Alligator mississippiensis: one gene and its partners. The protein of the gene in region 1 interacts with the protein of each later gene in a pairwise test. Links are inferred from orthologs where the notes say so. Each region holds a gene or a part of one and is shown in the gene's direction. Other genes may lie near its edges.

Region 1 (7,445 bases):
TGGACAAGCCAGCATAATACTTATGGCAATGACTAAACTTATTTCAAAAGTTGAAGCAATGGTCTGGAAATGGGTATAGGATCAGTCTTAGAGTATCTACAATAGAGAATGTAGGGAGGTAACATAATTAAGGAGCCCCACCTCCCAACACACTTTTATTTGTTTATCTCATTTGAAATGTTGAGTCCTTTGTGGGTTTATAAAAGCCCAGAGCACTTGCTGGTAGAATAGGGGGAGGGAAGGACATTGAAACAAAGGGCATTTACAGTAGCAGGTCATACATACAGTTGAGGAGAGATCAATAAAGAGAAAAGGATGATTGGAGACAAAGGAGGAAATTTTAAAATAACAGAAAGGAAATTAAGAAAGAGGAGAATGATCAGTGGAAGTTTGCCAGAAGCACCAGTACATGCTTAACTCCACTCAGAACACCAGTAAAATACCCTGGGATTCATCCCTGTTTGCTGCAAGTGGCTTTTCATGTCTTCCTGGTCAATGAGAATGTTGCTTTAAGTCCAAATGCAGCATTTCTTTCTGTTTTGTGGGAGATGATGAGCCTAATTACTGTATGTACTGAGTTAATTCCACTGATTTAATGCAATCACCCCATTATAAAACAATTATAATACAAGAGTAGAAAATCAAACCCAATGTACTTAACTGAGCTTTTCAAGAACGCATATATATTAGCTATTTGGTTTAGCACATGATATGGCGTTAATATAAAAAGGAAGATGCATGAAAAGAGAGTTTGTAACTGAAATCAAGAAAATAAAAAAGCAAGGGATTTCCCCATGCACCTATCTTCAGTCTTTGTTGTGGGTTCTCTGTTGCAGCATCTCTGCTTGTCCTGTCCTTTGATTTTTCTGGCATTCCACTGAAACATTGAAGAAACATTTTAAAGGGCCTACTATATAAAGCTATCACAATTTGGGTTTTGTTCAATGTACCTTTTAGGTTTGTTGGCTTTCGGATTTTTGTACTGTTGGGCTCTTTGTACCACTGTGTCACAATGTGACATCTCTATCCTGTTGTCATACAATGGCCTATTACCAAGCAACATCATCATGTCACAGCTTAATGTCATGATAGCTTAAACCATGGGAGTCAAATGCACCCAGTCTCATGGGCCAGAGTATGGGCGTGGGGCCAGCCTGCATGCTGGATTAGCCCCACAGACTGGTCCCATGTGCTGGATCCAGCTCTCATGGCTGGTCTAGTGCAGCCTCTGCATGCAGCATACACCATGTGTACTGCTTGTAATGCAAACACTAGCTCCAGACCTGCATGCTGCATGCACACACCTCCTGGTCCTGTGTGCAGCATGCAGTACGTGGGGCTGGTCTGGCATGCCTGCTACACACTGGACACAGTGCTGGTCTGGGGCATATGCCACATGTGGTGCCCACACCAACCCAGTCCTATGGGCCAGATTCAGCATGCAGGGTTGGTTTGCGTCCCCATACCGACTGGCCCTGGATCTAGTGTGGAGGGCTGGTCCAACACAGATGCTGCATGTAGTGCGCATCCCAGACCAGCCCCATTCTATGTGCAGCCCATGCCAGACAGGCTGTGTACCACATGTGGCTTGCAAGGCCAATTCCAGTGCATACTGCATTGTAGCAGGAAGCACTGCAGGCCAAATGATCCAGCTTCATGGCCTGGATCCAGCCCATGAGCTGTGTCTTTGACATCCCTGGCCTAAACTAACATTCAAGGAAGTTTAGTAGCGTGAATTGCAAAGGGGACAAAAAGTGCAACCTCTGGTAGCACATCTACTGCATTTGGTAGCCATGAACCAGTTAAAAAAAAAAAAAAAAAAAAAAAAAAAAAAAAAAAGAAAGCTAAATAATCAGGCTTTCTAACTCTCAGCAAAAAATGAACAAAGATTTCCAAGTGTCATTTAGCCCCCAATGTTAACATAAAGGTCTAAAAAAGAGTTTGTATATGCATATATGCTTTCAGCAGATGAGCTGAAATGACATTTTATTATCTGCCGTTTGCTAATGGGAATAAAAAGTCAAACTTTGAGTCTTTTTATAATTCTGAATCCTCTTGTTTTAGTATACTCAGCAAAAATACATCCTCCTCCTACATATCAAAAGAGCCTCTCCTCATGTTAGTGTTTGGGCACCCCAACATAGTCTCCCACCTATTCATCACCTTGCCTTAAGGATGTTTCTTAAAATGTTGCTCAGACTTGCTTTTCCCTGATCATGATGTGAAAACTGATTCCTGAAGATTTCTTAAGATAACATGACTTTTCTGGTTGGTGTGTATTGATGGAAAAATTCAAATGTAAGTTCCTAGAGACATCTAGTCTGATTCTATATTTAGTCATCTAAATAGTGACTTGATATTTCTACCCAGGAGAACTTTTACAATTTTTTTTCTCCAATGCCTGATGAAGGATGTTTGTGCCCAAAAGCTTGCAATTAAATAATTTTTTTTTTTTACAAAAATCTGGTTGGTCTAATAAAAGATATCATCTCTACTACAAGTCCTGATTGATATTTCTAGATAATTTACAGTTTACTCAGCACCAGAAAAAATAACTACTGTTCAGCTGGCTATATGTAGATGAGCATGTTATGTCTCTTTTCATGAGAAGAGTTTAACTGCTACTTTTAAAAGCATTTTTCTGCCCATGCAAGTAAGCACTTGTTGGCATGTGCATATACTTAAATGGTTTTCAAGAATGAATCTTGAAAAATATTTCAGGAATGGAAAAAGAATATAGTGTTTAAAGGTCCTATTCACACTGCAGCCCAGACCTTTCTGATTAGGCTATAGATTTTGACAACTGTGTTAATCATTGGTTTAGTGATTAGCTTGGCATTCCAGCATTAACAACTTTTTTACAACAAACTATGAGCTTTGACAGGTGCAGGAGGAAGGGTGCACCTGTCAATAAGCAGCCTGTTGGGGGTCTAACATTTTCAACCCTTACGCTTTGAGGCAACTTCTGTTTAATTATAAGGAGAAATTCTCACGCAGTGACATTTTTAGGGGCTGAGGTACTAAGGAAAGCACCAAAAATCCCTTGCACCGCATAAAGCAGCTGAATGTGAGCTTCCACCACACCAATCATGTAAGGGTGAATTTACCTCGCATATAACACATTTTTGGTATAAAAAGGTCATCGCATAGGAGTGAATTCGCACATGGAGAACCTGTATAAAGCAGGGGAAACCTGTAGTGTGGTTCTCTGCACTAGATCAGGTATATCAGGCTGGGGCAGCACAGGGCTGGATCAGGGTACCTGTGGGCTGGCCCTATGCCACTCATCTGGCTGACTGAAAGGTTGCGCACCCCTGCATGTATGACAGGGGCAGGCAATTATTTTGGGCGGAGGGCCGCTTACTGAGTTTTGGTAAGCCATTGAGGGCCACATGACAGGCAACCAGGGGCAGATAAATATTAATTTTCTAATTTTTTTAGGGGCCCCGTGGGCCCGATAGAATGGCCTGGTGGGCTGCGTTCAGCCCACATTTTGCCCACTCCTGGTGTCTAATGTGTGCGTGAACACACAGCCAATTTCTGCACTTCAGCCAAACCAGCAGTGCGGTGTACTGGGATAAAATGCATGCCCACAGGACTGGCCCCATCCAGGACATGCAACTTATCCAAACAGCTCCTTCAGCATGTGGAGCTGTCAGGGCTGTGCCACGAACAGTCACCGAATTGACCTGTTCCCACCATTTTTAAGGCATCTAATAGCAGCCCTTCAACAGCGACTTCCCATTCCTCTTTTCTGGCCCACCTGAAGGGAACACAAGTAGCCCGCAGGATGCACAGACGTGGTGCCAGCTCAAAGGATCAGGTCAGGGGAGTACCACTGAGCTGCCAGGCAGCATAACCTCGCCCTGCGTGGCATCACATCGGGGTGCTGCAGTGCGAACAGGAGGCAGCAAACAGGGCTCACACTGTGTTATGCACTGACACTACTATTTGTGCACTCGGCCCGCGGGCAGAGCAGAGGGCTGCCCCGCCCCGCTCAGGCCCGCCTGCTACCGAGAAAAAAAAGCAAAGCCGCACACGCATGCGCACTCATCCTAGTACCGCAAGCGCAGCAGCCCGCCACGCCTGCGCAGTCGGCCCTCAAGCAAAGCGGGGAAGAGGGGGGGGGAGCAGAAAAAAAAACCCTCCGCGCCTGCGCAGTCGGCTCCGAAGCGGGAAAACAGGTGGTCAGGGAAAAGCCCTCTGCGCTTGCGCAGTCGGCCCTCAAGCTTAGCGGGAGGAGGGTTGGAAAAAAAAAAAGGAGCCCTCTGCACCTGCGCAGTTGGCCCTCAAGCGAGGCAGCCGCGAGACAGGGAGGGAAGAGCCCCCTCCCCTGCGGCTGCGCATTTCTGGGAGTGCCTGGAGCAAAGCAGCCGCGGCAAGAGACGCGGGAGGGGGTTTTGCGGCGCATGCGCAGAGGCGGCCTCTGAGGCGGGGAGGAGGGGCGGCTGTCTCTCTCTCTCTCTCTCTCTCTCTCTCTCTCTCTCTCTCTCTCTCTCTCTCTCTTCCGCCCCCATTCCGCGGCGAGGGCGCGAGCCGGGCACAGTCGGGGGCAGCGCGGGAGCAGTCGGGCGGCCGTTGGTTGCGCGGGGCGGGGGGAAGCCGCGTTCGCCGAGGCCTCTCCACCCCGCCCGGCGCCGAGTCGGCTGGACACAAAATGGCGGACGGGGAGCTGAACGTGGACAGCCTCATCACCCGCCTGCTGGAAGGTGAGCCCCCCCCTCCCCAGCGCCCCCTTTTCCCTCCCCCCGCTGGGGCGGGGCTGCGAATCCCCTCTTTCCTCCCCGCCACACCTGGGGGGCAGTGTGTGTGCGGGCGGGGGGCAGTTCCTCAGGGAGATGGGGGGGGGGGCGCGGGGGACCTCGGTGCATGAGGGAATAAATCCTCCTGGAGATGGTGGGAAATTTGTTGCTGTCTTCTCCTTTGCCGAGGGGGACCTCCTTGTGCCCTGAGTATTCTCAGGGCTGGGTGAACGTCCAAGTATATGCCTAGGGCCCTAAGTGAGGAAGGGGCCTGCTTGTGCTTCTTCTATACCTATTATAATTCTGGAGTGGGAAAATTAAAAAGTAATATACACAGTATTAAGAAGGGGCCCACGAATGTGTTTGTGTAGGGTCCACTAAAGGGTTAAATCCAGGCCCCAAACATCCTTGTTGTAAAGCTTCCCCCTGTTGGGGTGGGGGGGTCTTGCCTTACACCCTGCCACCCACCTGCAAGAATAGGCCACTGGGGCAGAGGGGTTGGGTGCACGGTTGCACAGGGATGGGCAGTGAATAGGAGTTGCGGCAAGGCTGCCAGGGGTGTTGGTTCTGCCTTGGAGAACACGTAATGCCAGTAGTTTCCCTCTGCCTGAAGAAGGGTGTTTGTGCCCAAAAGCTTGCAAAGAACAATTTTTCAACTATTTAGTTGGTCTAAAAAAAGATATATTACACTTACCCAAAGGACCACGTCTGCCTATGTCCTTAGACCAACACGGCTACAGTCAACAACCACAGAATTTAAGATGTATGCAATAGTAAATTCTTCATAACATATTTTTAATTAAATACTTATAAATCTCATGTGTCCATTATATGTAAATGCAAAACGAATTGGACATAAGTTTCTTTGCAAGTGGTTTTAGTCTGATGCCACGGACTAGGTAGCTGTACATCCAGCAGGTAAAAGATCTGGACTTTGTACTATGAGCCCCTGGGCTGTAATCTGTGCCCCGTCCTGTTGGGGCTGACGGGGGGGGGGCTGTGCCAGGTTGTTGTCTGACTTCATAATGAGTAAACAGTGAAAATCTGGGGTGCTGATAGATGGAGAGCGTGCGCCTGGCCACAAGAGGGTTGTTGGGGGTAGTTCTGCTAATATGTTTGTGCTTAGTGTATTGTTGCAGGAGGCATTTCAAATGCTTGTATTTGTCCTTCGGTGGAGTGTAAATATTTGTTGGCTGGGCAGATGACAACTTACCTTTTGAGTTGCTTGAAATCTAAGAATGTTTATCAAGTAAGATTTTCTGTACAGGCCCCTTTGTGACCACTTAACATGCACTTTCCAGCATAAGCTCCATTTTCAGGGATTAAAGACTTTCCGGCCTGCATATATACATCTTCCATACATAGGGGCACTGGTAAATTTTGTCCAGGGTAGTAATCTATTTTTTTTCTAGTTTGCTTATTTGTATTCCTATTTAATTGATACAGTTTATTAAAATATTGTAGAACCACTTTTTAAGCACTTGGTTGTCTCGTTTTTCTTAGCTATCATTTATCTTAATAAAGTAAACCATGAAACTCCATGTATACAGTAGCTGCTTTCCAAAGAAAGTGCATATCCATATTTAAAATAGTTGGTAAGACGTAGTGTTTCCAGGGGTTTCATATAACAACTAAACAAGATCATAGCCATCCTAGGTTTGGACCAGTCTAGACTGTAGTAAGCAAATTTGTGTTAAAAATGGCAGTGTATTTGTTTGAAAACTATTACATTTTTAAAGACAAATTTGTTCAAATGTGTGTTGTGCTGTTTGTAGGTAGTCAGTGTTTTCTGAAGCTGTTTTTAAGTTTGATTTACTTAATTTAAATTATGCAAAAAAGGTAAGGAAAACCTGTCTGGCTTGTAGCAGTAAGAGTTCTTCCTCTCCTCCTCCCCCCCCCCCCCATTTTTGTTACCATACTGCTAACCAGGGGTTCTTTTAAGTTTCTTCCTTGCTTCAGAAAGAGAATCTGTCCTGAGAATTTGTCACGGTATCATCTTTAGCTTTTAAAATTACTTGGTGTGGGTGAGGATTTTTTTTCTTACATTTCTGTTTTACACTTTCTGTGCTACCAGTATGCCATAAGATGAGTAACAGTTTGAGTAACGGCATCTTAACTCAGAGGTTTCTTTTATGTAATCAAAGATGCTTACTAAGTTTACAGTTTAGTATGGTGTTGCTGGGTAGTGCTCTTTCTTTCTCTCTCTCTCTTTTTTTTTTTTTTAAGTATCAGTGTAAAATGTGTTTTGAGTGGGGGGAAAAATGGTTTGTTAAATTGCTCTTCGGCTGAAATGTTTTTTGACAGATCTTCATTTTTTTTAATAGGTTTAACTTGTAAACACAGAGTTTTAAAGTTTCTTTTTATCTGTCTAAAGGGAGGGTGTTTTATATGGCAGCTGAATTTACAGCCCTGTCAAAACCCATTTGCATTAGACATATCAAAAAGATGGTCTTTGCCTCAGAACTCCGTGTAGCTTCAGGCTGTACACTTACTGGTTGAAGTCTGTTGTAGTTTTTTTATGCCCTGTCACAAATGTTAAAAAAACCCATGTCTTACCAATGTACTTCTGTTAGCAAGAGCCCCAGTAGATGCAGTTTTGCTAGCAAGAATAGTTATGTAGTTTGCTCAGTATAATTTGCATTTCCAATAGAAGCAGCGAGGATTTTTTGGGGGGGTGAGATCTTTTTATTTGACTGACTGCAT
Region 2 (7,330 bases), on another chromosome or scaffold:
GGAGAGGGGAGTTCAAGAAGAGTGGTTGCTCCTCAAGGGAGCGATCCTCAATGCACAAACTAAGTCTATTCCATCTTGGAGGAAAGGCAGCAAGAGGGCACAGCAGCCCCCCTGGCTCTCCAGGGACCTAGCAGACCTCCTGAGGCTAAAAAGAAAGGCCTACAAAGGATGGAGGATGGGAGTCACCTCCAAGGAGGATTATTCTGCACTGGTCTGGTCCTGTAGGGAGCAGACCAGGAAAGCCAAGGCTGCAACTGAACTCCAGCTAGCTTTGAGCATCAAGGACAATAAAAAGTCCTTTTTCAGATATGTGGGGAGCCGGAGGAAAAGCAGGGGCAACATTGGACCCCTGCTGAACCAGATGGGGCAACTGACAACTGACGCCCAGGAAAAAGCCAACCTATTAAATAGGTACTTTGCGTCAGTCTTTCATCAGCCCCATGGGACGACCATGCCCGCTACAGGGCCAGGAAGTCCGGGTGAGGGTGATCCCCTCAAGGTCTGGAACAGCCTGCCATTGGAGGTGGTTTAAGTGCCTTCATTGAACACCTTCAAGATGAAACTGGATGCTTATCTTGCTGGGATCCTATGACCCCAGCTGACTTCCTGCCCTTTGGGCGGGGGGCTGGACTCGATGATTTTTCGAGGTCCCTTCCAGCCCTAATGTCTATGAAATCTATGAAATCAAATTTTCCAGAGTTATGGTGCTGAGACATTTCTTATAGTTGGTTAGTGCTGTTCTTTTTTTGTTCTTAACCAGTGGTAGAAGGGTTTCAGAGTGCTTGTCAAACCAGTCTGCATTTTTCTTGAATTTTTTTGCCAAATGTGGTTACAGCAGCATTGTACATGTTGGTTTTTAAACTTTCTCAAGCCTTGGCGACTGAGCTTAGGTAAACTTGCTATCGCAATTTCTTCATGAAATAATCAACATTTTTCTATGCCTTTAGTTTGGCTGATGTCTATCTGAGGACAACTGGTAGTTTTGCTATGGTGAATCTTTTCACATTGATTCTGACTTTCCAGCAGACTAAAGCATGGTTAGTGTCACAGTCAGCACTGTGACACAACCTCATAATTCAGGATTTCTTTCAGGTTGTTATGCCTGGGCAGTACTAGACCTAATTGGTGCCAGTGCCCTGATCTTGATGTTTCCATGATGTTTTTCTTGTGATTTTTTCAGCAAAGTCAGGGTTAGTTTAATTGCACAGATTTTTGACTTGCATGAAGTTCTAACATTTACTGGCCATTTTTATGCATATTACCAATTCTGTGTTCACCCAGAATATGAGGCCATTTCTTAAAACTACATCCAACTCTTGCCCTGAAGTTGCCAAGTATTATTACAGTCTAATTTTTGTGAGTTTTCTCAACGTCTTCTTCAAGTTGTTGGTAGAAAATGTAGGTGTATAGACACTAAACAACGTTATGAAGCTGTTCTGTGTATGCACTCTGAGTGTCATAAGTCTAAGAGATACAGCAATGGGGCTTTCACAGAAAGATAGTAAGTTTTTAATAGCAAAGCCTATTTCCTGCGCTCTCCTTTCTCCTGATACCTTCCCATGCTAGAATATAATGTAATTATTTTCTTGGAGAGAACCTGTATCTGAAAGCCAAGTTGCTGATAATGCAGCAATGTCAATTCTGAGTCTAACCAATTCATAGTTTAGTAATGCTGTTTTCCATAAATCAGAGTCTGAATCAAACCTAGGGGGCAGCGTCTGAACATTCCAGCATGTTCCCATATGTGTAAAGCTGTTGATAGCTTCCTAGGGGTCATTAACACATAGGGACAGTAGCTTTCTGGTAGAATATACCTCCTGCATGGCAACACCCACGGGAGGTTTGCCTATACGGATCTGGTTTACTTAGGAGGCATTGCCACTGGGGACTGCCAACTTCCAGACAGATGTCATCACTTGCTTCCATATGGCTGGGGGAATACCTGGCTTGTGGTCTATCCCTGCAATTCTGGTTTTGCTGCAAATAGCGCTGCAGAACACTCTGCAAAACCTCCTCCCTGCTGATGGTGAGACTCCTGGTGAGTACTACCCCATGTGCACACACATGCACAACTACTCTGATGATCTCAGCTAGAGGGCCTTTTGTGGTGTGTAAAGGCAAGGAGACCACATCATAATAAAGTAATTTTCTTCTGCTCATTCTGCATATGTTGAGATTTCTCTGAGGGACAGACTTCCATCTTCAGCTCCCTCTGTGCAAAAATGAAGTTTATTTCCGACCTATGGGGACTTTTTACCATCTTGTACCATCTACACTTTTCCCAGAGCCTGACAAAGGGACTTTGATTCCCGAAAGCTTGCAGAAAAGGACAATTTTCTTGCCATTCTCTAGTTGGTCTAATAAAAGGTATCATTTTGGAACCAAGAGTTCTAGTTTTTTGTATGAGATTTCTCTGACACATTTTATTTTGTTCTACAATTTTAAAAAAAGCAAATGACCTAAAGATAGTAAATGAAACTTGACTACCTTTGTAGATCCAGTAGCACTCTCACATAACGCTGACCCACATGTGAAAATAAAAATCATGTCTACTCCTCTACAACATGCCAAAGTACTTTTCCTAACTGATTAAGAGTTGTGGAGAACCTTGCACAAAGGCTGAGGAATTATATTCAGCTACAAAGAGATTTTTGACCCTGCCAACCAGAGTTTGTGTTTCTTCAGTAAAGCTTGTTTTCTACAACTTGGACTGGAAGCTACTTTTGTTCTAAGTATGTCAGACCCTTCTGGCTGGGACTCCAAAAATCACTGTTGTGGCTTAAACAAAATTCACTTCACTTTGGGTACCCATACAGCAAACCCTGAATGCTTCCATGCTGCTTGTGGACATGCCATTTGAAAAAGACTCCTCTTAGCCCTCTTGCTTTCAAACTTTGCTTCAAGTTTGAAAATGAAAATCCAGCCAGTAACTCTGCTGCTGCCTCCTTCCTTCACTCCTGGAGACTGCTAGCTCCAGGCTAATCGCCATAAGGATCTCCTTAAGCAGGGAACCTCCAGGTGACAGTGTCAATTCTCAGAGATCTGTGCTCAGCACCTTCACTGATGCAGTTCCATGGGCAATCAGCTCCGAAAAATGTTTTCTCAAACATAAAACGATTCAAGTGCCCTGACTTAGAAAAAAAAGGGGTGAGGGGTGGGGAAGAGATGTTAAAAAAATAAAAGTTTCTTCAAGAACAGTGGTTTTGGAAACAACTTTGGTGGAGTTTTGCAGTTTGTAGGGGACTAGAAGGGATTAAGAAAAGCTACATTTTAATCCTAGAAGTGTGGTCCCACTTGGGTAATGGTTCAGTCCTTAATGCAGCCTCAAAGAGAAGATATCAAACTGGGAGCTGCTAAAACTGTGCAAGACAGGAGGTCTTTGTAAACCAAAATATCACAACATGCTGTCTCTTGTCAATGTGTTTAAATATATTGCAAATAATTCCTCCACCCGATCCTACAGTACTTGCTGGTATTTGCAGACTTTAAGGTTAAATATATATAAAAATACAAACATGGGAGCTACCTCATCATTTACATTTTCTATTAGGAAACGAATGGCAGCTATTTGCCTGGCTTGCTGTCTGGAGAGGGGCTGTTATTCACTTTGCAGCTGGTTAAAAATATTACATTTAGAAACCAAGTGAACTTGCTTGTTGGGCTATTTTTCGTATGTTCTTAGGTGTTGGGGGGGAGAGAATAAACAGCCCTTGCTTTCCTGACACCTCCTCCTTCCAGCAGCCCAGGGCTTCCCAGTCCAGTCCTACAAAATAAGCGGGGATAGATGTTCACCCCGCAACCAAGCTCCTGCGGGCAGGCCCCTCGTGGAGGGGGAAGCCCACCGACAGCAGTGGGGCGCTGACAGGGAGCAGCACTTTATCCCTTCCCATGTTTCGGATCAGGGCTTTCCTCAGTAGCCTACAAGGGACCCTCGCCTCTGGCACCGGGCAGTGGGGACCCCTCAGAACCGCGCCCTCCCCCGCGGGCTTATGCTGCTTCAGCCCATATCCATGACAGCTGCTCCCACCACTAAATACCCCTGGAGGCCCGACTCCACGTTTAGGAAATGCAGTTTGCTTGTAAAGGAAGTGCGGTGATGATCCCCACACCCCGGGAGGCGCCTCAAGGCAATGCGCCCCCTGAAATCTGCTGATGTGCGTCGGCAGAAAGCCCGCCATGCGGGCCCCCGGGGCTGGCCGGGAGCGCCCCCCAGTCCCGCAGGGGCGGCCGCGGCAGCTGGCGGGGCAGCGGGACGGAGCCAGCGGGGCGGGGTTGGCTGCGGGCGGCTCCGCGTGAAGGGGCAGCGCGGCTCTAGATAAGCGGCCGGGGCGGCGCTGCAGCAGAGCGGGGCCGGGCCGGGCAGGGCCGGGCAGGGCGAGCCGCAAGCGAGAGCCTGCACCCGAGCGACCGCGGAGCAGAAGCATCTCGCCGCACCGCGCTGGCTAATCACCTGCGCCAGGTAAGTCCAGGGGACCCGCTCCCGGGGCAGGCAGCGTCTGTGACCGCCAGCGCGGCGGGGCCGGCCCGACACCCGGCTTCTCTCGTCTCCCCGCTCTCGCCCAGGGCCCGAAAGCGCCCCGTCCCAGGCGGCCCTGACTTGGGGGCCCGCCCTGCCTTCTCCTTGCTCCTCGATCATTCTTAGCATAACGAGGGAGAGGCGGCTGCAAAAGCAGCAGAATTGTCGGGATTTGAATTGCTGGTTTGTGGGAAGAAAACTGGGCTGGGAACTTCCAAGAGGGCGGTGGGGTGTATGCCACCCCGGAGACTGAGAATATGCTGCGTTCAGCTAAGAGTGCTGCCTTGCTTGTCTTCCCCCACTGCTTGCCCTAACAGCCCAGAGCCATGAGACTTGGAGCCTAGTTAAAAAAAAAAAAAAAAAAAAAAAAAAAAATCCTCCCCCACCTATTTCTCGCACTGCTCTGCCGTACCAGTGAAAGTGCTGGAAGGAGAAACCTGTTTCTGAACATGACAAAGCAAATATTCTCACTTCTTATGACGCAACAGAATTTTAGATTTTAATGCAGAATACACGACAGCTGTCAAAAGGATTGCACTGGAAGCCCAGCTCACAAACCTATACGTCCAGGATGTATTTCCTGAATAGTCACTAGGGGATGAGATGGTTTATAATTAGACTGTAGCATAAAACCCCTATAGTCTTACAGTAGGTCAGTGGTAGATCTTACACATGAATTTAAAGATGATTGCAGAAGGAAAGCATTTTTAAGAGCTGCTATATTATCTCATTGCACTGAGGTGGGGGGGGAGGGGGGATAGGGAGAATCACATTCTTTTTGCATAACTTAAATTAGCCAAAAGAAGGTACAGTATGCCCCTAGTACTTAGAGCTAGGTGAAAAAGTGTTGTTAATCAAATGAGCTTGACCTCTTGTGCATTAGAATAATTCAAACGGGCTTGAAAATATTTTTATTTATGATGTGAACATAGCATCTAACCTGAGTCATATAGTGTTATTTCCAGATGAACCAATTTGCCAAAATCTATGGAAACTTGCTTAGTACCTTTTTGACTGGAGCTTTCTAAATCAGATGCACCCTTTCATTATGAATAGCAAGATCTGTACTAGTGTATGAAAATCCTCTTTCATGCGTGAATATCTGCTAGGGGGAAGGGGGGTGAAAGTATATTTTGATATGAATATCTGCTAGGGGAAGGGGGGTGAAAGTATATTTTGAATAATTGTGTAATTTAAAATCCTCTCTTGCAGAGAGGTTTGTTGGGAAAAATGAAAGAATCTGGCCAAATCCAAACAATCCAGAATTCTCAAGAATGGTTGATTGATTTATGCTAATTCCTTAGCTCCAACTGAACCACAGTTTGTTTTTTGTATTGCATTGAATAATTAGGACACTGTATGAAGTCAAGCATGCGGAGCTCCTTAGGAAGCTCTCTTCCAATGTATACCTGATGTAGCAAACAACCTAACATGCTGTCTCCCCACTCAATTTCAGAATGATACAGATCTTGGACCCAAGACATTTGCCCACCTCTATGATGCCTGTTGATGTGGCCATGAGAATATGCTTAGCCCATTCTCCACCTCTGAAGAGTTTTCTCAGTCCCCTTGATGACTGTCAAAGAAACAACTTTGTTAACAGATTTAAGCCTCTAAGGTCGTGTCTCAATTTGAAACGAGAATCTGAGTCTCAGAGTAACGACTGGAACCGTTCACCAAGCCGAGCCAAAAAACGAGTTGTGTTTGCGGACTCAAAAGGGCTTTCTTTGACCGCAATACACGTCTTCTCTGAATTCCAGGAGCATCCTGTATGGGATCTTCAATTTAACTTGTTAGATCTTGAGGACATAACAGCCAGTTTAAAACTACATGAAGAGAAAAACTTGATTCTGGGTTTCTCTCAGCCTTCAGCTGACTATTTAGACTTCCGGAATCGGTTGCAAAAGAATTTTGTCTGCCTCGAAAATTGTACACTGCAAGAAAGGGCAGTATCGGGGACAGTGAAAGTGAAAAATGTCAGCTTTGAGAAAATGGTTCAGGTTCGGATTACCTTTGATACATGGAAAAGTTACACCAATGTTGACTGTGTCTACATGAACAATGTGTACGGAGACTCCGATAGTGATACCTTCTCATTTGCCATTGACCTGCCTACAGCCATTCCCATTCAAGAGAAGACTGAATTTTGCATTTCTTACCAAAGTGGAGAGCACATCTTCTGGGACAATAATGAGGGTCAGAACTATAAAATTCTCCATGCAGAATGGAAACCTGATGGTGTCCAAGTACCAGCATCTACCAAAAAAGACCGTGCCATTGACAACATTCCAAGGAAAACACAGGAAAATGAAGCTGAGCGGTTTGGAAGTCCAAGGATGTCCAATGGTCTCTTTCCTGCATGGCAGAGTTGGGGCAGGATTGAAAACTCAGCCCCATATTGGTGATAAGTTACAAGCCAATGAACATTCCTGCTTTCAACAACTGAAGAATGTTAGTCTACCTGTGCTTCACATAGTACAAAACCTCTGAGTAGGTTTTGATTCTTCTTTCAAATCGAAATTCACTTCTACTTGGGCCTTAAGTTTTTTGTTTGTGTGTGTATGAAGTTTGTTTATTTGTATCCATCTTTTCAGGCAAATGACCATCTTAACTTCTACATTTTCTTACTTTTTTTTTTCTTTTTTGTTTTTTAAGAACCTCACAGCCCAAAATCTTACCCATGGATAAACAGAAGCCCATTTTTAAAAACGAAAAGCAAGCCCTTCAGTTTGTTACCTACTGTACATATAGCATGCCTAGGTTAAACATACTAAACTTTTTCTGATATTTACTTGCCTTTAATCATTAGGTAAG
Region 3 (7,795 bases), on another chromosome or scaffold:
GCGCCTCTGGGGGCGGCTTCAGCCCCCGCTGAGATCTGTAGCAAGAGAGGGGGAAGATCCCTCTCCAGCCCCGGACGGCAAAGAGCTCCAGACATCCAAGGGACACTGGGCCCAGGCGCTGGCGGGCGCTGAGCTCCCCTGGGGCCCGGCAAGACTCCCCCCACCCCCAGCTCACCTCCTTGCTTCTCCTCATCTGACCCCTGACCTGGCTATTTGCATTGCATGCAGCAGGGCAGGGGGCATCCCCTACCCGCAGGGGGTGGCTCCTGCCTCGGCAGCCCTGATGCCTCCAGCTGTGCAGTGTGATACCTCCAGCTGTCCATGCAGCCCCTGCAGCTGCCAGCCCAGGGGATTGGGGTGATGCCTAGGCCGTCCCACTATGCTCCCCTGTGCCCGTCTCACCCCCGGTGCTCACCTGGGCCAGCTTGAGGCGGCGGCCGGGTGCGGCCTGGATGACCAGGGCGATCATGGCCAGGTAGGTGTAGGGCGGCTTGGCGTGGCGGCTGTACTTCTTCTTCCTCTTGCCCCCCCTCCTGCCGCCAGCCTGGCCCGGGCTCTGCCTGGCCCCATCCCCTGCCAGCTCCTGGGCTTCCTCCGCCGGGCACAGGCTGGTGCCCTCCTCCGGGCTGCTCTGGTCCAGGCTGGCCATGGGCAGGGAGCCGGTGCCCAGGGCCTCTGAAGGTGAAGGTCAGCCCCGACCCATCCAGTGGGGATCTTCCAGGTGTGGGGAAGCCTGTCCCCACCGACTGGCCCCCTCCATCCATCCACTCAGGGCTTTATCATGCTGATCAGAGCCTGGCCCGGCTGGAGACAGGCTGCTGGCACCAGGAGGAGGGGGCTAGCAAGCAAACAATTCGCAGGTTTCTGCTAATCTGGCTGCTGGGAGGGGGTCCTGACCTGGCTGGGGGGCGAGGGGGGCACTGCCCTGTCCGTGGCACTCCCACCGGCACACAGCCTGCTACCCATCTGCCCCTTCCCAGCTCCCCCAGGCCCCCGGCCGGGGCTGTGCGGGGAGCATGCCCAGCCTGGGTCCAGCCGGGACCCTCCCAGCCAGCACCCCCACCCCGACTGCTCAGCCAGGAGCCCCCCAGGGCAGGTCCCAGCTCCCACCCCCCACAATGGGGTACAGGACTGGCTCCAGGCCACCCTCCATCCCGTGATGCATGCATCGGTCGTGGCTCTGCGCTGGGGCACGAGAGGGGGGCTCCCAGGACGTGCTCCCGGCTGCTCCAGAGCCCTTGCAGCCACCCTGAGACCCATGATACGGACAGCTACATGCATGCACATGCATGGCACGTGTGGGGAGGGGAGGGGAGGGGAGGGACAGCCCATCCCCTATCACGGGCCCCCATGGCTGACACAGGTCTGGGTGCTTAGGCTTTATTGATGGGCCCTGCCCGTGCACAGCGCCGTGGTCCCCGGCTCTGGCCCCTGGCTCAGGTCCAGCGAGCCCGGGGCACCCAGAGGCTGCAGCATGAGGGTCCCGGTGTCCTTGCCTCCGACTTCCCTGGGGATGGGGGTTCCCCTCCGGCCTCCGCGGGACGTGCCCCTCCAAGCTCCGTCTGCTCCGGGCCGACGTCTGGGCACTGCTGCACCCCTGGCGCTGTTCCCGGGGCACCCTGCCCCGTCCCCGCGTGCCCGAGCTAGCGTGGGCCCCGGCGCCTCTCTGCGCCCCTCTGCACCGTTTCGCCCTTCTTCCGCGAGCTCCGGCTTCTCTCTTCACCTGGTGCAGTGCCCCCGTGTTCCCGTGGTGGCTCCGAGTGGCCCCGGGGCCGGTCCTGGCTGTGCTCTGCAGCCCCAGTGCCCCCCTCAGGTGCCCGCTGAGCTGGCACCTCCTCACCCCATCGTGCCGCCCGCCGCGAGCGCCGCTCGAAGACGGCCACGATGCGCTGGACGTGGTGCTCGACCTGCGGCTGTGGTGCCACATCCGGGGCTGAGGGGCCAGCTGCGGCCAGGGGCTGGGCGGCAACACCAGGGCTTGGTCTCCCCTGACGGCCACGCGGGTGGTCACAGAAGAGGCAGGAGCATGTAGCCACGGCCGGGGGCAACTCCTCGTCCCTGCGGGGGCTGGTGCCAGGCTGCGGCAGAGGAGGGTCCTGAGGATCAGAGAGCCGTGAGGCTGGCAGGGATCTGCGGGACCACATCCAGCCTTGAGGCAGGATCAGGCCCATCCAAACCCCATTTCCAACCTCAGAGCCACATGACAGTTGCTCCTGACACAGCCCTGGGCATCACCCCCACCCCCAGGATACAGGGGGGCTGCGGCCACCATCGCCTTGCTACTGCCAGGGGGGTTGTGGGCGCTGCAGAGAGCCGAGGCCAGGCCGTGCCCCCGCTGCAGAGGAAGGGGAAACCCCCCAGTGCGCACCAGTCTGAGCAGGGGGAAATCCCGTTCTGCCCCAGTGCAGTGGGGCTGAGCCTGAGCGCGGGGGCAAGACCCTCCAGCCGGGACCCTGCGGGGTTGGTGTCAGCAGGAGCATTGGCCCAGCCCCATCCCCAGCCTGGGCTGCAGCCAGTGCCCAGCTTCTGCCCCTCTGCCCCCCGGGGCCGCAGCTGCTACCCGAGACCCTGGCTGCAGCACCCGAGACCCCGAGGGCACCATCTCCCAGCCCTGCCCACAAACCAGCACGCACTGGGCTGGGCCCTGCACAGGTGTCCGAGCCCAAGGAGCTGCACCTGGCCCCACTGCCGGTGCCCCCTGGCACCCCCAGTCCCTGGGGCTGGCGAGAAGGGGTGCCCGGGGTGGGACATGGGGCCTCTGCATCCTGGGGCTGGAAAGGGTCCCTGAGCTCCCGTCCCCCTCACCTGGTGTCGCGCCGGGTGCTGCGTGCTGGACTTCCTTCTCCGCAGCCCCCTGCCCCCCGGGGCTGCAGCAGGCTGGGGGAGCTGGCCGCGGTGCCCGGCCTCGACCGGGTCAACTGGGCCAGAGGCATCGGGCCAGGCCCAGCTCGGGGCCCCGGGAGACTCCGGCTCCTCGTCCGCCATCTGCTCCAGCCAGCGCCGCACCTCCGAGAGCCTCTTCTGCAGCGGGCGCCGCGCGGGCGCCCTGCGGCTGGCACCGCTGTCCTCGTCCTGCTCCAGCACCCGCGGGGACCAGGCGTCCTTGGAGGGTCCCCCCGGCCCCGGCAGAGCCCCGCGGTGCTGGTTCAGGCGCTGGCAAGCCGGGCAGCTCTGCAGGTGGGCGAGCATGCAGCGGGGCAGGAGCCGGGGGCATGCCCCCACGCCCAGCTCACTGCTCCCTGCCCCTGGGGCCGGTGGTGCCGCCTGGGTGCCCGGGGCCTCCTGGGGCTCGCGCCAGCCCACGGGCTCCAGCCGACGCTCCCTCTGGCAGCAGTCGCAGGACGGGGCGTTGCTGCTGTGGCTGGTGCTGGGTGTTGGCTGGCCTGGCTCGGCCCCCCACCTGCCTGGCTGGGGCCACGGCCTCGTGCTGGAAGGGTCCCGGCCCCGTTGCCGGGCTCGTGCTCCTGCCCCAGAGGTCCCGATCCTGCCAGGTGCCTCGTCCAGGTTCTCGTAGGTGCCCGAGGCGCCTCCTGGGCTGGGCCCCGGCCCCTGCTCCCCGGCCTGGAGCTTGGCGTAGAAGAAGGAGTCGAGCTTCTCGGCCACGTTGCGCTCGAAGACGGAGACGCGCTCGATGGCGGTGTGGGCGGCACGGCCGGGCGGGGGCTCCGGGCCCCGGCTCCACGGCACGGCCCCGCTGGGGGGCACAGGCGCGTGCCCCCGTGTCCTGCTGCCCGGGCCGGGGGGGGTGCCAGGCTTCCCTGCCCCGCTGCAGGACAGCTCGCAGTCGCGCAGGGACCGGGACAGGTCTGGAGGGGCCGGAACGGGGATGCTTGGGAACGATCCCGCTCTGGCCCCGCTCCCCTGGCCCGTTGCACCCCCCCCTCACCAGGATCCCTGTGAAACCCGGCACAGCCGCTGCGGATGTACAGCTCCGAGCGCGGCATGGCCCCGGGCTCCTGGGGGAGCTGCAGGGATCACGGCCCTAGCAGCTCAGGCCCTTACCGGAGATGACGGAGGCCGCTGAGCGGTGGGAGCGGGGCCCCCCGCCTTCCCCCCAGCCCTCGTCCCTCCGAGGGGCGTCGGGGACGGAGTCGGGCTCCGTCTCCCAGTCCTCGTCCTCGCAGCCAGCCGGGAGCCAGGACCGGTCGATCCTCCCGTGGTGCCCCGCTCTCGGGCCGGCGCCGGGGGGGCCAGCCCAGGCCATGGCAGAGCGGGGCAGAGCGGGGCGCGGGGCTGCGGCTGCCAGGGTGGAGCTGCCCCATTGTGAGGTCAGCAGAATGCGGCGAGGCAGCTCGGGGAGGGGGCGCGCCCGGGGGCCGAGCGGGGCCGGCGGGCCGTGGACCCCAGCGGCCCCTGGCAGCGGGGGCTGGGGGCAGACCGAGCATCAGAACGGGGCGGGATGCGGGGGGCAAGCGGGTCTCAGCGCCGGGGACCCCAGGAGGGTCTCCCGCCTGGTGCTTGGCGCGCTCCACACTGCTGGCTGCGGGACGCTTGCCAGGCGCCGTGCCCCAAAAGGCTCTCAGGGGTCAGTGTGCCCCTGACCCCGACCCTGACGGGCCCAGTCCTCCCCAGGGCACTGCCCAGCGCTCCAGCAGAGGATGGCAGACCTTCAGGGGCACAAACCTGAACCCCCCTCCCCTTCCCTCCCCTATAATCTCCTGGGCCCCCACTGCTTTGGGGGCTGCCTGGCCCCGCCCCCAGCTGGGGGAGCCCCGCCCCCCTGGAGGGGCGCCGCTTCCGCCACACTCAACATGGCGCCGGCACTCGCTTCCGGCGGGCGTTCCGCCTCGGCCGGAAGTGTGAGCGGTTGCCATGGCGAGGGGCGGCGGAGGGGACCCGCCCCGGCGAGGGGAGCGGCCCGGTAGGTCCGTGCGCGGCGGCGGCGGCGGCGGGGCACGGGGTCCCATGGGGGTGCTGCGGGGTCGGGGCCGCGTGTGTGTTTGAGCTCTCCGGGCTCTTGTGAATGGTGTTTGCACACCTGACAGCGCTGGCTTTGCGTGGCGCCCTGCGGCACCCCTGCAAGGGTGTGCAGGACCCGGTCGAGACTCCCTGCGGGGCTGCGGGCCTGGACGCGCCGGCCCCCGCTGAGCACCGCGCTGCTGCGGCCCGCGGGCCGGTCGGGAGGCCGCACCCCCTCCCCCCCAGACGGGGGTCCGCCATGAGCCGGGCGAGCTGCCACCCCAGAGCCCGGGAGCGTCCGGCTTTGGCCGGGGTCAAGCGGCACGATCGCCACCCCCTCGCTCGCCCGTTTGCTCGCTGCTTTAGCCCTTATCGTCACGGCACGTGCTTGCGGCATGCGGCCGGGCGGATTACGGGTGGACGGCCCTCGCCGTGCCCGTGGCGAGCGAGGAGGCAGCGCGGCTCCGAGCAGCCGGATTATCTCTCTTAAGGCCGGCGGGGGCTCGGAGGAGGGTTTTGCAGCTGAGAGCCGCGAGGACTTTTGCTTCCCGGACTTTGAACTTGGCAGGCGGGGGTTGCGCGGTGCCTCCGCGTGCCGTTAGCGGGGTGTCTCCTGCAGCTGGGGGGCTCGGGGTAGGGGTCGCGCTCTTTGGCTGCCCCTCTGGCACCTCAGAGGGCACTGCCCCGGCCGGTGTCGGCCCCCCGTCTGAATGAGCTTGGTGCCTGTTTCCTGCTGAGTTGGACAGACTACTGCTGTGGGGCTCCTTGCAATGGCTGGGTTCAGAGAGGGCAGCAGCACGAGGGTATTTGATTTCAGGAAAACACACCCTGGGACATTAGGAGATGCGATGCAGGGCCTAATCGTGCACGCTGGGAGCAGAGCAGAGGAGCGTGCAGCACGCCGGAGCTGCTGCCGGCTGGGCGCGACGGCGGCGCTGCACGAGCAGGGAGCTCTGGTGCCACCAGCCCTGGACTCTTTCATTCAGCACGGGCGCCGCGCCGCCAGGAAGGTGCTGATAAATGGGGGGGCTCGGGGCAGAGCAACAGAAATCTGTCTGGGGCTGGAAGGACTGACCAAGCAGGGCAAATAAGAGGTCGGACTCAGCAGCTGCGTGGCAGGGGCATTCGGGGTGCTGCGGGGGGGAGCGGATGCAGGAGGGTAGACGGGGAGAAACCAGCAGTGTGGTGACCCTCAAGGGAAACTCCCCAGAAATCTGATCCTCGCATCCCCTGGAGGCGCTGGTCCTGGCCCCGCTCCTGTGGGGGGTCCTGCTCCCCTCCCAGCAGGAAGCTTTGTTGCTCTGGCGCTTGGGAGCAGCTGAAATCTGCTCCGTTCTACGCAGATGTTGTCACGCGCCAGACGTGCCATTGTGTCCCAGGCCGGGGCAGTGGAGGAAGGCCCCCCGGGACTTGGCTGGCGTGCAGTGTGTTGTCTCCAAGCGGCCTCTCTGCTCTGGCCTCGGCTTTGGCCGAGCGCCTTCTGTTCCCAGGTGGGTTGGGCCTCCAGGCTGCTGTTCCCCAGGGAGCTTCTCCCCCTTTTCAGTCTTCAGTTCTGCCTCGCTGGGCTGGGAGGTGGCCGTGAGGGACTCAGAAGCCCAAGGCTTCTTGCGTGATGATGACACGCATTTCCTGTCTGTGTTTCAGCCCCCCGTGCAATGGCGCTTTCAGGAGGAAAGGCAGATGAGCTGTCAGCGGAGTGCCTTTGCGTGGGTCACGAGAGGCTTGCCGGGCATGCTCCTGACACGGCAGGCAGGGAGTTCAGAGCACCCACCCTGCAGGCCCTTCTGCCCTTCATTTCAGTAGTTGGCCTGTGTGCATCGAACCTCGGCCGGGCGCGTCGCTATTGCCCAGCTGGGATGTGGTGCTCAGTCTGTTCAGGGCTGATCACCCGGAGGCGAAGGGCTGGTGTCTGGGCTGCAGCATCTCTCTGGAATTGTCATGCTGCTCAGAGGTCGGACGCGGGGTTTGCCTGGGATGGTTTGGACAGGGCTGATCTGGCCTAGACGTGGCCCCTACAGGACCCTGCCAGCCCCACAGCTCTGTGGTTGCTATGAATTCATCACGTTTTGTGCCAGGATCCTTTCCTGCAGCACACCGTACAGCTCCCTAGAGCCCTTTCAGGTGACTGACAGGATGCATTCCCACTCTTCCCCCTTGACAGACCGTTCCACAGACTACAGAGTTCAGTGCTGAGCAGTGTTTCCTGATCTCCGATCCCCGGTAAAAGATCTCGAGGCCCAGTCACTTCTGTTGCTCTTGTTTTTCTCCTGGTGTGGTGACGTTTTTGTCCTGGTATTGCGGTTCCCAGAACCGAGATGGCCCTCCCAGGGCCGAGAACCGCAGCGCTGCTCCTCGGACCGTCCAGCTCTTGCTTAGCGCAAAGCTGGGTCTAAACACTTTGTGAATGCTTGGACAAGGTGAAGCAGCAGAAAGCCCGGCTCTGGGGGCATTCCCTGTGTTGAGCTTGCATCTCAAATGGGGCAGGTCCCTGGTGTCCCTAAGTTTTCCACACTGCTGAAAGCCAGTCCCAAGCATTGGCCTTGTACCCCGGCCTCTGCACAGGTGCCAGGGACTCTGTGATGGCCCTGCTTGCAGGGGACACCTCACGTCTCCAGGTTTGGCGTGTGGGAATGTGGGCATGGCAGGCTCTGGGACGTCTCTCTGCAAGCACCAGGGATAAGCCCTGCTGAGAGGTGGAGGGTCAGGCAGGAGAAGGGTGGTGGGCCCTCCAGCGACTATCACACAAGCTCGCAGTTGGTGCAGTACAAGGACCCAAGGACTACTGTGGCTTTTGTCCAAACGGCTTGCTCTCACTCCTTGGCTCTTCCCAGCCCCCAGCTGAGCCAGTGTGGAAGTGGGGAAGGTAGATAGCTCAGCTTGATTATTTGCAGATGAA
Region 4 (7,915 bases), on another chromosome or scaffold:
ATTGAAAAAATGCAACCACCTGTTGTTTCCCTTCTTTGCCTTGAATTAAAGGATCTGTGGGTGGGTTTTACAGTAGTGGCATTTTAGGGATTGACTATAAAGAATGAACTCATTTCTTGCTCCTTAAAACTTGAGCAAGCAGCAAAGGAAGTCCAAAGCACAGTGAATCTAGATAAAAGGCAATGAGCAAGAAGGGAGGAGGTGGAAGGGATCCTGGTCTTTCTTGCTCGGTAGCAATATCCTCGTCCCACTGGTGTCAGTGAAAGGTTTGCTATTGACTTCAGGAGGTTGAGGGTTTTACCCTCAGTGAGGAATACATAGTAAAGATCCTTTCCATTGGACGAGAGTAGTCTATATTACTTGCAAGCATATCTCCTCAGATGGGCTGGTTTCCCAGTCCAGCCCCACTGCATGTTATAGTGCAAATTTGTGTATGAGAGGCCAGGCATACAGGGGGATAGTGGTGTAATGCCAGTCTCACAGCAAACTGGAGTCCCCACAAACAGGTTTCCCTTGCACTTGCTCTGGAGTACAACAGAACTGCATTCCCTGAAGTACACCACACAAGGTCTTGAAGATTCAAAGCTACAGCATATGGTTATTAACATTGCACCTGGGTGCAAGTAAGATTGATTGACAGGAAGATACTAAGTGGATCCAATAGCATTAAGTTAGAAAACTCATTTTGACTAATGCATTCTTGCAATGCTTACCAGAACTAGAGGAGTTTTAATGCTCCAATATCATGTTCCTGTGATTACATTACAAAGTTCCAGTGTGATGATAACATATCATAACATGATAACATAATAGCAATGACAACAATAACAATGACAACAGCAACGACCCTGTTATAATACTCAAGTGTTCTGTTTCTGAAGCAACAGGCCTAAGCATCTATCTCTGGATCTGCATCCAGTTTGATTTTCTCTGCCCATCCCAAGTCTTAGGGTTGTGACACAAGCAGATCTGGGGCCTGACTCTACAGTCTTTGAAGGTGTTGGGCCTAGAGTCTGGTCTTGGACCCACACCCTGTGTCATAGAATAGCTCTTCATCCTCCAGCCATAAGGAAGAGCTGAGGAAATAGAGGATTCCCTCCCAGTCTTAAGACAAAAATATTTAATGAGAGTGGATGGACCCTAAAAGGATCACCAGGAAGGTTACACAAGTGTAAAAAGAGTAGCTAAATATAGCTCTTATCTCATTGTCCAGGTGGATAAGCTCTCCACCACCTGTAATAGGGCTTCACCCTAAGCCCTTGTGCAGTTACCATTGCTCTGACAGCAATTGCCAGGCAGCAGTTGTGAAATATGCAGCGCTTGGGGTTAAAACAAACACATCCATTTACTGGAGGACAAAATGCAATCGTCTGAGGTCTACAGAGCTCCTTGTGAGTTTCTCCTATAGTTTTGGAAGGGGCTTCTTTGAAACCTACAGGCTTTTGAAAATCTCACTCACAGCTTTCTACAGGTTTGAACATCTTTAAAAATCTGGCTGTAAGTAACTTGCCTTAGATCACAAGGGTGACTCAGTAGCAGAGAAATTAACCTAAGTCTCCGAGCTGGCATGTAACCACAGTGTCACCTGTCCTTTATTGGTATTTGGTTACAATTTGCCTTTGGAGTGGATTTGTAAATTATTTCAGCTAAGTGAAAGTTTGCTAAATGTCAACAGCTAACTTTGTTGTAGCCCTGTGAGCTTCTGCTGCAACTCTTTAAAAGTGCCTGGGAATTAATATCCAAGGGCTTGTGGCCAAGCTGTGTGGCTGTAGGAAAGGGTTTGCCAGTTGCTTTGTAGGTCAGGAAACACACCTGTCCTGCTGGGGAGGAAGAGACTGATGCTTGGGTCTCAGCAGGAAAACTGGCTTTGAAAAGATAGGGTGTGTAGTCAGGGACTGGGAGGAAAATTGCCTACCTGGCTTAGGGAAGTGACACCCTGCACTTGACCTACTTTTGGCTCCCCAGGCAGTTAGTATAACATGCCCTGGAGAAGCAAGGATGTTCATCTGTCTGAGTTAAACTCTCCCTGGGTTCTGAAATGAAATTGGCTAGTGCTCAAACAGCATTGTGATTGTGCCTTGCTAAGTGCCCTGTACTCAGCTGGACCATGGTGACCCCCTTGGGGGGTCCAGAGGTCCACAAATGTATTATATAATTGTTTATAACTGGCTTCCAGATCTCAGACTTGCTCTCTGAGTGGTTCTGTCCACATCCCCTCTAAAGATTGCTCCAGTCCATAACCTGCTAGTGTGCTGTCTGTCATTCCTCCATACCCTGTCATTTCTGTAGTTGAAGACTCCTGCACAGTAAATATGCTTTAGTTTTTCTTGGTTCCTTTAAAATGTATGTAGCAGTTGATTTCTGGGCTGTAGCAAGAGATCATTTCCACTGAGATTACCCTTTTACTTTACAGAACCACTAAGTGTATGATATTGTAACTTACTCCTCCTCAGCCCAGGGCTTAACAATGACTGTGCGCGTTCCCACAAGTTAATTAAAAGCAAATGTCAGCAGAAAGGGTGCAGCTCTTTAGTTCTGGCTGTATGTTGTAAGCTGTAAGATAGCAGAAAGATCATGTGCAGTTATCAAGGAAGGGGGAGCTTGTGCTAGAGCTGGATGAACACAGGCAGATGAGGCAACACTTTTCCAGCTCTGATGCATACCAAGCTGTGCTAGGGGTAGGTAGCTACAGCTTCCGGTCTCTCAGTCCTGCCACATAAGCCCCAGGGATATTTGATCATGCGGCAGGGCTAAATAGCTCCAGAAAGTAGGGGTGAATTATAGAGTTGCCATGCTCCACATAAGCAAGCAGATCAGGTCTGAGTCAGGGGAACACACGTGCCAGACTCCGTTCTGATGCAAACCTCCCTTTAGGCTTTCAAAGGATGTCTCCATATAAACATTGAGCTGCCCCCTTTTCCCCTCTCAGCCATGTATGAAGTCTTAGAATTCCTGCCTATTTTGTGTACCCACTTCACAAAGACAATGCAGTGCGCTGGACTGCTAGGAATGTGAATTGTGTACTTGGATATCAAAACAGAGACCACATCTGGAGAGGATGGATACTCCCAGGTGCCAGCAGGCAAGCCAAGGGAGACAAAACACTGGCTGCTCAGAAAAAATAAGGCTGGAGACCTTCATCTAGACTTGGCTGTGCTGGCTCTAAAACAATGTACATAAAACATCAAGGCTAAAAATTCACTGAGTTTGGTTATTGATTCACCTGTTGCAAAATGGGAACTGTGAATAAATAGAGCTAAAGATTTTCTAGCTTCATTGTAGCTTCTGTAATTACCTTTGAATCCACTGCTGAAGTGCTATGTGATAACTGGATCAACAACCGCTGCAAACTGTAACGAGTTATCAATACAGCAACACAGCACTGTGGAGGGGACAAGTTCCCTCTTGTACATGGGTGAAAGCACAGCAGTGGGTTTGTAGTCACTGCGACAGATGTATTTAACTTACAAAGTCAGCCACAAGTGGAGGTATAAAGCTGTGGGGAATATACCTCCGGGCAACACTCAAAGGTGCCTTGTCTTTGCTGTGCGTTTTGCCTACGGAGAGTTCCGGCATATTGGCTACGCTCCCATTTTTTCAGCAGTGAGAACAAGCCAAATACTAGGCTTTTTTAAAAATGAATTTATAAAATTGCCAAGGCTGTTTGCCAAGACCAAGCACAAACCTGCCTACCCTGGAAGGTCCATACTCATCTCAACTCCTGCTTTAGCTCCCTTGAATTAAAAACCCATCAATAAACTCAGGCTGGAAAAAAAAATGTGTCTAGAATAAGCCTGCTCAGTCACAAGACTCTGCTCTCCCATAACTAAGGTTAGCCTCTGCTATCTACACCCACACTGACAGAAGACAGTGCAGGGTAGCTGGCTAGGAAGTTCCTTAACTGCTGGATTGTACAACCAACAACCCTCAAATGCTTGATTGTATGAATGGGCGCAAGCAGGCCGGTTATAACCCTCATTCAGTTCAGGTTAGCTTTTTGTTGGGTGAGGACAAGGATTTCCCAGTAAAAGTAAAGGCTCCCGTCCTCAGCCTCAAATGTAATGCTTTTTTTTTTTTTTTTTTTGGTGGTGGGGGGAAGCTTAGCGCAGGCAGGACTGAGGAAGAACACTTGGGTATGTGACGGTGTTACAAGCAAACGGGTGAATGGGTGGGAAGGCAACTGAGGCTCTTGAAGTGGGAGAGCGGGGAAGTGCGGGCTGAGGAGAGGAGTCGGTGGCAGAGCTGAAGTCTTTCATTAGCCCAACTGGATTTTTGCAAAAGCAATTCTTTCATTGTCTGAGGAGAGGGCAGGGCAGGGCCCGCGCGCGCTCACGTGCGCAGCAGGGGAGATGCTGCAGCTGCGAGAGGCCAGGACTGATGCCAGGCGAGGGGGCTTCTTGAATGCACGCCAGCTTTTTCTTGGAGGGGGTCTTTTATTGGACCAGCTGTGTGGCTGGGACAGAGGCAGGCAGGCTTTCTAAAGCAAGCCTAAGCAGGGAGCGGCCCCCCACGGCCTTGCCTTCCTCCTCGCTTTGCGCACGCAAATGTGGGGGAGCCACGGGTTGCTTCCACCTCGTGCCTAGGGAGCAAAGGCGTTGCATTTTGGGGAAGCGGGGGGAGGATCTTGCCTTCGCTCACTCCCTCTCCTGAGGCGGGTGCGGGGGCCCCCTCAACTGGGGGAAGGAGGGAAGCAACCCCCCTTCACCCCTCCAGCCTGGGAGGGGAAGGAGAGAGCCGCCCAGCGGAGGGGGCGTGTCCCTGCGCCTTCCGGGCGCAGCCAGGCTGGTGTCCACGTGCCGGGCTGCTGCGCGCTCACGCGGAAGCCGGTCTGCCATTGGCCGGCCGGCCGGGTTCGGGGCGCGCCCATTGGCTGCGGTGTGGTTCCATGGGTGGAACGCCCGGGCGCCCTTAAGAAGTAGGGAGCAGCGGGGCGGCTGGTCTCATCTGCCGCTGTAGCGCGCTGGGGGTTAGGGCCTGCGCCAGGCCCCCGCCGGACCCATGCATTGCACCAGGTAGGAGGGAGGTCGGAGCCCCCCGGGAGCTGGGGGGGCAGCGGGGTCCCTGGGGTGGCGGCGATATCCACCTTTGTCCCAGGCTGGGGGCCGGGAGGGAGCAGCCTGCTTTGTGAGGTGGGAGGAGATGGCTGCCCCTGCGCCCCTTGGGCTACATCCCGGTCTCGGAGGTCTCAAGGGAGTGGATGGGTGTCCTCACTCTGTGTAGCCCCGTCTGCAAAAACTTTTTCCAAGTGTATGTGCAAATGAGGGGGAAATGCAGGAAGAGACTCCCTCCTGACTCCCAGGTTAAGGCTCTGGCAGTGCTCTGCAGGGCTTTCCTCAAGGAGAGAGACTCCCACAGAAGTCCCTAGACTCCTGACCCTCCTGCCCTTGCAGCAGTTCAAAGCAGCCAGGCTTACAATTTAAAGGGGGAAAAATGGGCCGGGGTTGGGGTACAGCAGTGCTTTGCTTGGGATGGTTTCAGAAGGAGCTGTCTTGACTGGAGTGCCCATATAAGTACATGGGGTCTGAAATGTCAGCGAAACATGTCAGTGCTCTCCCTGCTAAACTCTAGCTCCGCTCCATGTGAAATGGCTGAGAGGTTAATCCCTGAAATGGGAATACTTGCTTGGCCTTAAATACATGGGCTCTGTGGGGCGTATCTGCAATGCAGACCACAAGGAACTTGCCAAAAATTGGTACTGCAGCTTGAGTGCATGCCAGTTTTTTTCTTAAACTGTAGAAAAAGGGAGAAGACAATTCACATAGCATCCGGATCCACATCTGCCTAGGGGTTTTTATTCCAGTGCTTAAAAGCTGCAGGGCAGCCCTAGGTCCCAGTGACTGCAGTCTCTATTGATAAGCACTTTGTTCTGCCAAATTAATTCATCTTTGCAATGGCGAATACCCTGCAACTGCTTTTTTTAAGAGCAAGTAACCAGTCGCCTAAATTCCACAAATTATTCTGTCTTGCTCTTGAGTCCAGAGCAAGCTGTATAACTAGGGTGAGCATGTTGTCCATCTGACTTGCCAAGCAGTTCTTTATGTGAATGAAAGGTGTTGCCTCTTCCTGTAGCTTTTTCTGGGGTGGGTGGTGGCTTTTGTTTCGGGGATTCATGCTGTTGGGAACTCCTTCTGAGAGGCTGAAACTGCACTAGCTTGATTGTTCTCCTGGATTGCAAACGCATGTGGTGGTTAACCGAGTTTCAGAGTTTTACCTCTTCCCTTCTGTCCTTGTCAACTTGTTTGATAGCAGACTTCCCAATCTCTCTCTCTCATTATTTGCTGTGTAAAAGAATGGTTTGCCACTTCTGGGTCCTGCAAGGTTCATTGCTGTTTCTGCGTTCTTTAGTGGTTTGTGGTGTTTTACCAGGCATGCCTGGGGAGAAGACTGGCAGTCACCCTTCTGTATGGGACTCTTACTGATGACACCTAGTGCTATCTCCAAGCTTCACTCCTGGCAGATAGGCTAATTCTCAAGCAACTGCAAGTTGCATCCAGAAAGCAGCTGCCTTGTGGTATTGCAGGTAGACATGATCACAGTGCCCATGTTATGGATGAGTCTTCCTTGAGGAGGGCCACATTCTGCACTGTTGGAATTGTTTATGGGTTGGAATTGTTTAAAAAAATTTGTCGTCTTAATTTGTGTTGCAGAGGACCACTAGCCACCAGTGCAGTTTGTACTGGGCTCTGTAGTTAGCCCACCTCCAGAGATCCTGAAGGTGTTGAATAGTTTTATTACTATCTGATTCCAGCTGTCTGGGAGAGGCCTAAGACGAGCTGAGAGGGTTGGAAGGAGGATTTGTGAGGAGGCTAGCAGGCCTGAAGAATGCCTGAAATGACAGCTAAATTACCAAGCGGTATCAAAATAATTTCTGAAAGTGAAACTAATTGTTCCTTCTTTCAAGTCAGGACCCAAAATAGCTAAGGCTGTTCATGCTTTTTAGCCATAACCATCTACCATGCAACCTGTAATGTATTTCCAAAACTTTCTTCAGCTAGTCCACCCACAGTGTGCTTTAAAGGTTGCTAGTCAGTTCTTGATGCCGTATTAATCTTTTGCAAGCAAGTAGGACAGAAAGCATGAGGTGAGAAACTGCTTCTGGATCTGCACTAATGAACAAATAAAGTTCTGACATTTGTGATGGGCAAAGGCATTGAAAACTGGACAGAAGACCTTCAGACTTGAAAACTGATGCCATCAAGTTGCCAGTGTTTTTAAATGCCCATCTTCACATTCCTGTAAATGGATGCTATTTTTACTTTCAAAACTGATTCACTGGAAAGAGGCCTATATAACAACTTTCACTTCAGATTTTTAAACCCCTTTGTTTTTAAATTTGATGACGAGCATTAATGAGTTCCTTGAGTCCATGACCTACAAGGGAGGCAAAAGTTTTCCATTTAAGGTGGTTCAGCAGAGCCGTATCTAATCATCTTGGAACTTTTATAGCCAGTGTCTCCAGTTCAATCCAGAGCAAGAAGTCCCATCCAGATTTATAAAATGTTAGTTGAAAATAGCAGTGCATTTTATAGGCTCAGTGGCTTGTCTTTAGTGATTAATATAAGATGTTGCCTGAACTTAGACTTTTGATTCTAACTTTATAAAATTATGTTTTGAGGGTGTTGTTCAGCTGTGGCTTTCTTCTAATACTTAATACAGAAGGTATTCATATATTAACTGGCTAATTGAGAATTATCACTAGGAACATTGCTCCAGTTCCTGAGAAGTGCTTAAATGGTAGGGAGGCTTCACTGTGATACGGCAGGACCCTGTAATGTGGATGGGGCTGCTGTAGATAACAGGGATTGTGAATATTTGAGGCAGTATTGGTTAGCAGAAGGAAATGACCTACAGAATAATAATAACTGTGTGAGTGTGCATAGAGGCTTGGCTAAAACATACACAGTGGAGCAGAGGG

Evidence for each region.
Region 2: the proteins of PPP1CB (region 1) and PPP1R3C interact in binary tests that used the Homo sapiens proteins (3 or more experiments, as listed by UniProt). The two-hybrid records come from large-scale screens. The link is inferred for Alligator mississippiensis from reciprocal best matches to the Homo sapiens genes PPP1CB and PPP1R3C.
Region 3: the proteins of PPP1CB (region 1) and PPP1R16A interact in binary tests that used the Homo sapiens proteins (3 or more experiments, as listed by UniProt). The two-hybrid records come from large-scale screens. The link is inferred for Alligator mississippiensis from reciprocal best matches to the Homo sapiens genes PPP1CB and PPP1R16A.
Region 4: the proteins of PPP1CB (region 1) and PPP1R3B interact in a two-hybrid assay, tested with the Homo sapiens proteins (2 studies listed by BioGRID and IntAct). The link is inferred for Alligator mississippiensis from reciprocal best matches to the Homo sapiens genes PPP1CB and PPP1R3B.

The regions. Positions count from the first base shown.
Region 1 is NC_081824.1:176,137,306-176,144,750, forward strand, and holds the start of PPP1CB (serine/threonine-protein phosphatase PP1-beta catalytic subunit), read left to right. Parts: upstream 1-4,430; 5' UTR 4,431-4,657; coding exon 4,658-4,709; intron 4,710-7,445. UniProt on the Homo sapiens protein: Protein phosphatase that associates with over 200 regulatory proteins to form highly specific holoenzymes which dephosphorylate hundreds of biological targets.
Region 2 is NC_081829.1:68,911,964-68,919,293, reverse strand, and holds the start of PPP1R3C (protein phosphatase 1 regulatory subunit 3C), read left to right. Parts: upstream 1-4,326; 5' UTR 4,327-4,459; exon of another isoform or gene 4,460-4,849; intron 4,850-5,972; 5' UTR 5,973-5,973; coding exon 5,974-6,921; 3' UTR 6,922-7,330.
Region 3 is NC_081826.1:1,681,272-1,689,066, forward strand, and holds the start of PPP1R16A (protein phosphatase 1 regulatory subunit 16A), read left to right. Parts: upstream 1-4,780; 5' UTR 4,781-4,861; exon of another isoform or gene 4,862-4,865; intron 4,866-6,082; exon of another isoform or gene 6,083-7,795. Other genes in the region: forkhead box protein H1-like, read right to left, coding at 416-649. UniProt on the Homo sapiens protein: Inhibits protein phosphatase 1 activity toward phosphorylase, myosin light chain and myosin substrates.
Region 4 is NC_081825.1:141,790,513-141,798,427, forward strand, and holds the start of PPP1R3B (protein phosphatase 1 regulatory subunit 3B), read left to right. Parts: upstream 1-4,900; 5' UTR 4,901-4,998; coding exon 4,999-5,012; intron 5,013-7,915. UniProt on the Homo sapiens protein: Acts as a glycogen-targeting subunit for phosphatase PP1. Facilitates interaction of the PP1 with enzymes of the glycogen metabolism and regulates its activity.